2 linked regions of the Tribolium castaneum genome follow. The protein of the gene in region 1 interacts with the protein of each later gene in a pairwise test. Links are inferred from orthologs where the notes say so. Each region holds a gene or a part of one and is shown on either strand. Other genes may lie near its edges.

The links.
Region 2: the proteins of sog (region 1) and Lab interact in binary tests that used the Homo sapiens proteins (3 or more experiments, as listed by UniProt). The link is inferred for Tribolium castaneum from reciprocal best matches to the Homo sapiens genes CHRD and HOXA1.

Annotation. Positions count from the first base shown.
Region 1 is NC_087395.1:22,989,847-22,993,676, forward strand, and holds part of sog (short gastrulation), read left to right. Parts: intron 1-3,191; coding exon 3,192-3,295; intron 3,296-3,564; coding exon 3,565-3,697; intron 3,698-3,830. UniProt on the Homo sapiens protein: Dorsalizing factor. Key developmental protein that dorsalizes early vertebrate embryonic tissues by binding to ventralizing TGF-beta family bone morphogenetic proteins (BMPs) and sequestering them in latent complexes.
Region 2 is NC_087397.1:6,654,616-6,659,202, forward strand, and holds the start of Lab (labial), read right to left. Parts: upstream 3,067-4,587; 5' UTR 3,049-3,066; coding exon of another isoform or gene 3,040-3,048; coding exon 2,409-3,039; intron 1-2,408. UniProt on the Homo sapiens protein: Sequence-specific transcription factor. Regulates multiple developmental processes including brainstem, inner and outer ear, abducens nerve and cardiovascular development and morphogenesis as well as cognition and behavior.

The sequences.
Region 1 (3,830 bases):
CTTTAACAAAAAAACTGAAAAGGACTGAACAAATCGGCGAAACAAATAGAATCACTATTTAGTTCACCCTCTTGTCTTCGACTCAATGTAGTTTTTAGCTCGGTTCAGTGTTTTTCTCCAATTCATAAACGTGTTTATTTCATTCAACGTTTAAAAAATACAAAAACTGCCCCATTTTTGGAATTATTCGATTAATTTGTGGCGAAATTTTAAACTCAGTTTCATTGTATGATTATCAAACTTTTATGGGCGGCCACTGGTATATTGCCGTCACCCAAAAACCTACAGTAAAACCTCTCAACAACGGACACCCATGGGGAATCCTTAATTGTCCGTTGTGGAGAGATGCCCATTGTTAAGAGGTGTCACCGTGTGGCCAATAATTAAATTGGGAGTCAAAAACGAGTTGTATCGTAGGCGCTGGACCTCGCAAACACCTTCAATTTCTGTTTTGGATGCCTCCTTGTTTTTTATTCTTCTGCTTATTAATTGTTGTGTTTTTCTTTGCCCGGTTTGGATGTGAGGATAGGTCCGATTGCGAGTTGCGTGTGTGCGATTCGGGTGTTAATTATGGTGTTGGCGGAAGTAGTTATTCGACTCGTTTCGGGAATCAAAGGTCTAAATATAGTCGGATAAAAGAGGAGCGGGTGCCGGGCGCGTATTTGCAACCACATTACCAGATCGTTGACTTTGAATGCGGCTGTAATACTGACATATTGAGAGAGCGGTCGGTTGTGGCGCCGGCCGCGAAATCGAATTAAATTAAGATTAAACAGACGTAATTATCGTGCTATTAGTCCGCGAACGGCGTTATTTATCGGCTTAGCGGTCCAACGGTGTCGTCAGCGGACCAGGAAGCGGTCGCCTGCACCTTTGCAGCTCGCCTCTTGGCCGATGCGCCTCGTCTAGAGGTGTGTCGTCCGTCTGCGGCATTGAATTCGCGCCAAGCTCGATATAACATGACTAATATATCCTGAGGCCCATCTGGATTGAACTCCTGGCATTTGAGCGGCGTCTAGCGTCTTCCACATGGCGTGCGCTGCTGAGCACTCTCACTTTCGCGCGGCTCATGGCGAACTTCCGCCAAACTTCGCCCTCTAGTTTGAGCAGAAAAGGGCGGCAGCAGCACTGCTGCGACGCCATATTATCGCAAAATATGCGCTAGTTATACTTACTTACATTCCGGAAAAAATGAAACCAGTTCTCAAGAGAGAGAATTGTAGCTGTCTCAGCCCACCGTGAAGCGAAAAACTTCGCCGTGCACAACAAAAACAAGGCGAAATTGTTCTGCTTAACGTAAATAAGACATTCGCCATCAACTTGTTTAATAAAGGTATCATTACGGCAAGACCGGGTTCTACCACCGGTGTTGCGACAAAACCACCCGCGAACTGCTGACGTCACGACAGGCGGCCTTGACGCGCTACCGAAACCTGGGTATTGGACCCAAAATGCGCCTTTCTAATTCATTGAGAACGAAATTGTGTACTTGCGAGCTTTATCGCTCCGCCTGCACCAATTAGATAAGGTGGCGATTTGCGCGAAATTTAGCCATTACGACACGGATGATTTTTACATAATTGCAGGTAAATGCGAGCAATCTAGTTCATGTTATTCAACATGCTGATGTGTTAACATGTGATTTCGATTAAATGCAATGTCATTTAAACGAACCAAGTTTGAGAGATTAATCAGTCCATGGCGTTGGTTTTTATTCCCAGACGCCTAGCCTGACCTCACCGATACAAACTCGCATTATATTTAAAATAAGGACTTTTAAAATAATAATCTAAAGGTCGTCAAAGTGACGCGTCAGCTCAACGCCTGAAATCTAAAAGTAGATGATAAAACACTTGGATTTCGCAAACCGCGTCTGTTATTTTAATGAAAAACACATTTTTACCGCCGCGCGGGTTACAACCAAAGTTATTGAGGCGTCCTGATGCCACTCAACTAGCGTTTTGCTTTCTTCAGACTATGATTTCTAGATATAAATCATGGACACGTCAATTGCCGTTGGAGGCAACTTTCACTGAGCGTTTTTCAGTGTTTTATCGCCTTTTAATTTTCCGTGCACGCCGCCACTGGCTGCACTTTTGTCCGGCCCGAGCAGCAACCTATCCATTTAATTTATTAAAATGCATTAAACGCCTGCATGCAAATGCGCGTCTAATGTCTATGATTACGCGGCAATTGCCCGTTTTTTCCCATTTATTAATTACGCTGACTTAATTGTTTCACCCGCGATCACGTGTGTGTCCAAAATGGCCGGTGTAAAAGTAAGCCGCACACTAAGTGGAAATGCATGTTACGAGCAAAGATCACACCTCCGAGTTGACATTTGCGAAGTACGATGCAATGTAGCAATGCGAGCGATTCTAAACAGTTGGAAATAGTCGCGCGCGCTTTAATTATAAAGCGACCAGACAAAAAACAAAAAACAACGATAATCGTCAAAAATACGACGACGTAGTAAACATATTTTTGAGGCCAATGTCGCTTAGATCACCGAATAATAATAAAAAAAGCGCACGCGGTTCGGTCCCGTTGCGCAACGGCCGGGGGTTCCATCGGGGGGGCGCGCAATTAAACCTACAGACACGTTGTCTGCTGCAATAGTTGGGAAAGGTCAAATCTAAATCGATGTGCGGGGGCATGGCCGCATTGCCGGGGGACACTTGGCACACGCCGCCAGCGCAAGGGCCAACAACCAAAAAGGACAAGATGCACACAAAAGGCCCTACGCTCGAATAAAGTCACCAACTTTGGATTAAACGACTGGTGTTCCCTTCAATACCCAAAGTGGGCGAAGTGGGCTTTTGGCGAAAATCTATACCTCCTTTGTGTCATTATGATCCAAAATTCGTCAATGAACGAAACTCAATTTTCATGTGACTGACTACTGAAGCACCTCAGGGCATAATTTATAGTACACAGTTTACTTCAGAAGTAGTTTCTATTTGTTTCGTCGATTTGTTCAGTCCCATTCAGTTTTTTTGATAATTTTTTTCTTGGAATGGGAAGCAGCAGGTGTACTTGGACTTCGCTTGTAGTTTCGAGATCTTCCGAGCGAATCATTTTTTTGTTTTGAAGAAAGTGTTAAGTTGGCGCAAATTCTAATAGTTAAAAAATGGGGTTATTTTGCCGACTATGAAAGTTTTGGGCTGGTTTTGATGTGTGTTTTGTTGCAGAGTGCGTGTTCGGGAAGCAGGTCCGCGAGCTGGGCTCGCAGTGGATCCCCGACCTCGGAGTGCCCATCGGCGTCCTCTACTGCATGAAATGCGAGTGCGTTCCGGTGAGTGACATTCATTGAAAGCGTCTCCGAGCCCGATAATCCATTGATGAATAATTCACTGGGGGAATAGTTTCACGCTCGGAGAGTGTGTCAGCGGCGATTTCTCGTCGGCGAAGAGCCCGAGATGGGGGCGTCTAGGTAGAGGTCAGGCGGGTCGGTGACCGGCAACCGTTCCATCTGTGATCTACCGACACCTTTCGCATCTCGGCGCCCTCGCCGCCGCTAACTGTAACCTCCCGTTTTGATTTGGTTCGTTCTTTTTTCGACAGCTCCAGAAGAAACGGCGGATCGTGGCGCGGGTCCAGTGCCGGAGCATCAAGAACGAGTGCCCGGAGCCCACCTGCGACGAGCCGGTGCACCGGCCGGGCCGCTGCTGCAAGACGTGTCCTGGGGATCTGTACGGTAAGTGCCCCAGCTGGGGCTTCGCTACGCAATAGCTAATGCGAAACCGCATACTCGGCGCGTTTCATTAACATTTTCTGCATAAATTGGCATTTTCGCGGTGTATTGACTTTGAGAGTACGGCGCGCAAGGA
Region 2 (4,587 bases), on another chromosome or scaffold:
CTTTTCGTGCTATGCACAATGTAGATTCTTGTAATTAAATGTGAGAAGATGTGTAATTAAGCGATGAGTGTAACGCCACAAATTGATCGGGGTGTCATGTGGGTATAAAGTACGCAAGGGGCAATTTACGTAAGGGTCAAGTGTAGTTATCACCGACCGAGATCTGACATGGCATGCATAATCGATTTCACTAAATGAAATTTACAAGGAGAACAAGAATGTTGGAATAGTCATGCTTGCAACATTGTATGGTAGCAGGAGTCGTAAATTAGGGAGCTTTTTATTTCGCGGGAAGCGTGTTTCGCTTTACTGAGGATTAAATGAACTGTTATGGAATTGGAAGGGTTCATAAAACACTCTTAAAATTGCAACTGATGCCACTGGGCTCATGTAACAAATAACAGCATCAAAAAACACAGTTTTAGCGCCGCTAAATTTTCTGCTGAGCTTTTGGCATAGAATTGCACTGTTAGTGTGAGTTTTTTCTGGAAGTTGTACCTATATTTGCAGTATTTTTTTAGAAGTGACTTGAATGATGTTGAGAGAACTAAATTGGGTTAGTAATACCCACAAAATTTTCTTACCTATTTTTGTACATAATACATTAAAATCTAGAATAGCTGTACAGAATTATAAACATAGCAAAATAAAAAATTTACATGTGTGGATATGGGAAAATAAATTAAAGTTATTGTTGTCTTTACTCTTTACAGTCATTGTAATAATTTTTCTGCACCTAATAATCTTTCAGCAGCATTAAGGCAGTTATTCTCGCAAAAAAATTTCTGCTGATGAAAAACTACAGCCTTTTTTAAAATTTTTGTATTTAATATTTTTATTAAAGTATTTCATGTCTGGTTTTTAAATTTAGTAAGCTACTACTAATTTGATTAGGTATGTAATACAAACTTATTTATAGCAATGATTTTTTTAGCTTGAATTTTGAGAAATTTTTTGTTCTATATTTATAATGCTTGTAATTTTTACGTTATTTTTTATTTTAAAATCTAGACAAATTGGAAAGTAGGTAGGTAAATAAATAAAAAATTTAATTAAAATTATTTAATAACTATCACAGCTGATAGTTATTATTTCTTGTTAATTGTCGTTTTTTTATTATACCATGCTGAGTTGAATTGAAATATTGTGGTAGGTGATAGTAAATATAAAAATATATATAACAAATAATAAAAATAAAAAAATAATATAAAAAAACTAATTCATTTTTCAATTAAAAAAAAAAACAAAATCTTTTTTTCTGTTCTCTCGTTATTTTTATTTCTTCATTTAATTTTACTTTAATATACTCCTGCTTTTAAAGAAACTGTAAAACTTCTGGCAATTTGCGAATGAAAAATGATGTCTATTTATCATTAAACAGTTAACTGATACCTATAAGTGGATTCATTAGCAAAAGAAACAATCAATTTTCAACACAGCGCCATAACTCCATTCTCTTTTATGTAAGTTATGTTTTTTTTTAACTAGCATTGATATTACTGAAATAAAAGCTTTATTTAGTTTTTATTTTTCATAAATTCTAAAATAAATAAATAAATCTTAAAACATGTTTTACCGAAAAATATATTTAGGTTTTAATTTTTACGTAGTTTATTTATTATGTGCAGCAAGAATGTATATATATATATATATATATATATATATATATATGTACATATTATCCCGTACTTTGTGTTAAATTGTAATTTGTTTCATTTGATTAGGAATTACTTAGAAGAAATATCAACCGTGTAAGCATTTGTTATTAGCTGTTTTATGTTTATTTTTTGAATTTGTGTATTAATTAAAAAGCTAAGGTGAAACCGTCTGCAGGTAAGTGAGAGTATACTTATCTATAAGCAGTTTTAAAAATATTTGTTTCTATAGAACGTTATACTCGTAAATAATAAAGTAAAAATTTTCATTATTTTTGTGATATAATTTAATTTTGTGGTATTGGCGATTAAGCAAAAATGCGCTGTTATTTTTCTGGAATTTATTCATTTAGTGGTAGTTCTCATTATATGGGAAGTGTATTTCCACATTTTTTCCAATTTCAATTGCAAAGCAACTAAATTTTAATTTTTAATCATGAGAAACGTTTCTCGTTTCGGGCTTATCTTGTAACTTAACCCAGAAACATGTAATAGTGTTCCAATTATTTTCTCACCCACAGTTGATAATTGTTTGATATTAATAATAATTGACATTTGTTTTAGTAAATTACGAAACGCATCACTTGTCTTTTTAGTCTTTGTCAGAGTTAATGAAAATAAGCTATAAAACAACGATTTTCCAATCGCGTGGCGTCGCTAAACTTCCAATAAACAAATGTAACGAAACGTTTCCGCTCTAATCAATAAGATAAGAAAATTTTGAAAAGCTAAAATTTTTATCTGTTGACTCACCTGTTGGTTTTGGTACATTCCTTTTGACTTGCATCCACTTATAAGTTGGTAACACTGGTTGTGGCTGAGGAACCGAACTCAAATTATGCATAACGTGTTGTCTCATCCTCCCATCTCCCTGCAGCGCTTCCTCCTTGTACCTGTGGAGGTGTTGGTACTCCATGCAGGAGTTTGTGGGGGTGCTCGATGCCCCAAGGTGGTACCCGGAGTCAACCTCCAACTGGTACTTGTTTTCGTGGAGGAAGTGGTGCTGGTGCCCATCGGCCACCTCCTCATGGTGCCTCAGCAGCATGTTCTCATGGGTTCTTTGATAGGGTTCGTTGTAATTCTGGTGGTTGATGGGGGGGAAGTTTGAGTTACCATAATCCAAGTTTGTGTAACTTAGTCCTGTCTCTGTATTGATTATGGGATTGTCTTGGGGGATGGTCTGGTGGTGGTAGTAGACTTCTTGGGGCGACGGTGGTGTTTCCTCCGAGCCGGTGTACCCATATGGGTCTTCGTAGTGGTAATTGGAGTAATGTGGGGGCATTTGCTGGGCGTTTGGTATATCACTGGTGTAGTTGTAGTAGTTATCCGATGGGTATGTCCCATGTTGACTGTGATGGCCGTACATCCCAACGTCCATCATCATCATTTTCATCAAGTCGGCACTGCACACACGTCACATGGCAAGCACTCGATTGTTTATGCTGTTGCACGGCAGACGCGATATGTGTCAGAGGGAGGAGCTTGCTTCTGCGCGCTTTGGACGGCCGACCAATGGCAGAGCAGCCCCACGAAGATCATTTGATGCTGGATGAGGGATTGGTCTGGATCCAGCCATCATTGTACCGTTTTATAAGGGAACATTTCAATCCCAGTGAATGGTACAAGTGTCAGCTACTGTGTGTGACATGACAGCTCGCCTTGTATTGTTCGCATGTGGCGTTTCTAATGGGCTGAGGCCGAGATCCTTATCGACTTATTCATATTGTGATGCTGGGGAGAAAATTTTTGAGATGGTTTGAGAAAAGTTTGATTCCCGAAATGTAATAATTTAATAATTTATTGAGGGGTGGTAAGACGCGACTTCGGGGTCTTTCCCTGCTGATAAGACGAGAGGGGATAAAAAATTCACGGTTAAGTATATTAAAGTTTGATGCTGCTTCTAATATACGTTTTCAATAAAAGTCCTATCTATAATTTTATAGATATTAAATTTTTGGAGGCGACCGGGGTAGTCTGAAAGACTATTTACATAAAAAATTGTAGGTAATTAATAATTATACAAATACCTATAATTTATTATTGAAGCTATGAAATAAATATATAAATAAATAGTAAAAGCTATACGTATCATTTTGAATAAAAAACATACCCAAGTTTAAAAAAAGTTTAATCGTTATCAGATCAGAGTGACACATAGGTATGTCAAAGATATATATAGCATGTATGCTATACCATAAAAAGATATATGGTACCTAAGTATCCTAATTCAAACGTTTAGCATAAACTGTAATGCGTTTTATAATTAATATACTTAGGTATTTCTTTTGTGTAAGACAGTTTTGACAATTGTTTGGCATTTCTTAATATAATACGTCAAATTATTTTAGCAAATTTAAAGCAGTTTTAAGCCTTGTTGAGTCTAATTCGATGAATAAAATGTTGTATTCAACTCGTTTTTATGTAAATCTGTTCATTTATTTCACCTCGTGGTGAAATAAATCACTCGTGTTTTAAAAATTCACTCGTAAAATAAAGCGACCGATTTACACTCATAAACATTAGCATCTTAAATCTTAGTATTAATAAATAAATATTAATTATAGATTATAGGTAGGTATGCGCTTATACCTAGACATCAAGCTTTTTTTGCATATATGTGTGTGTCCATTACGACTAAAATGATTTCTTAAAATTTCTTGAGAAAGGCAACAGACGATTGTGAGTGTAGCAAAAATAATAGATAAAAAAACTCATGAAGGAAGATATTTCGCTGCAGAATAATATTTGGACTTTCTCATAAAAAAAATAAATAGGTATTGTTCACATTCATACCTAGGTATTTTGAGAAAAACACATTTCTGGATTTAACTTTTGTGTTGTATTTAGCACTTTGTAATTTTATTGATGAAATATTGTTGCGTTAGAATGTTTTTAATAGTGACATATAACGATCTTTTAAACAATAGAAATT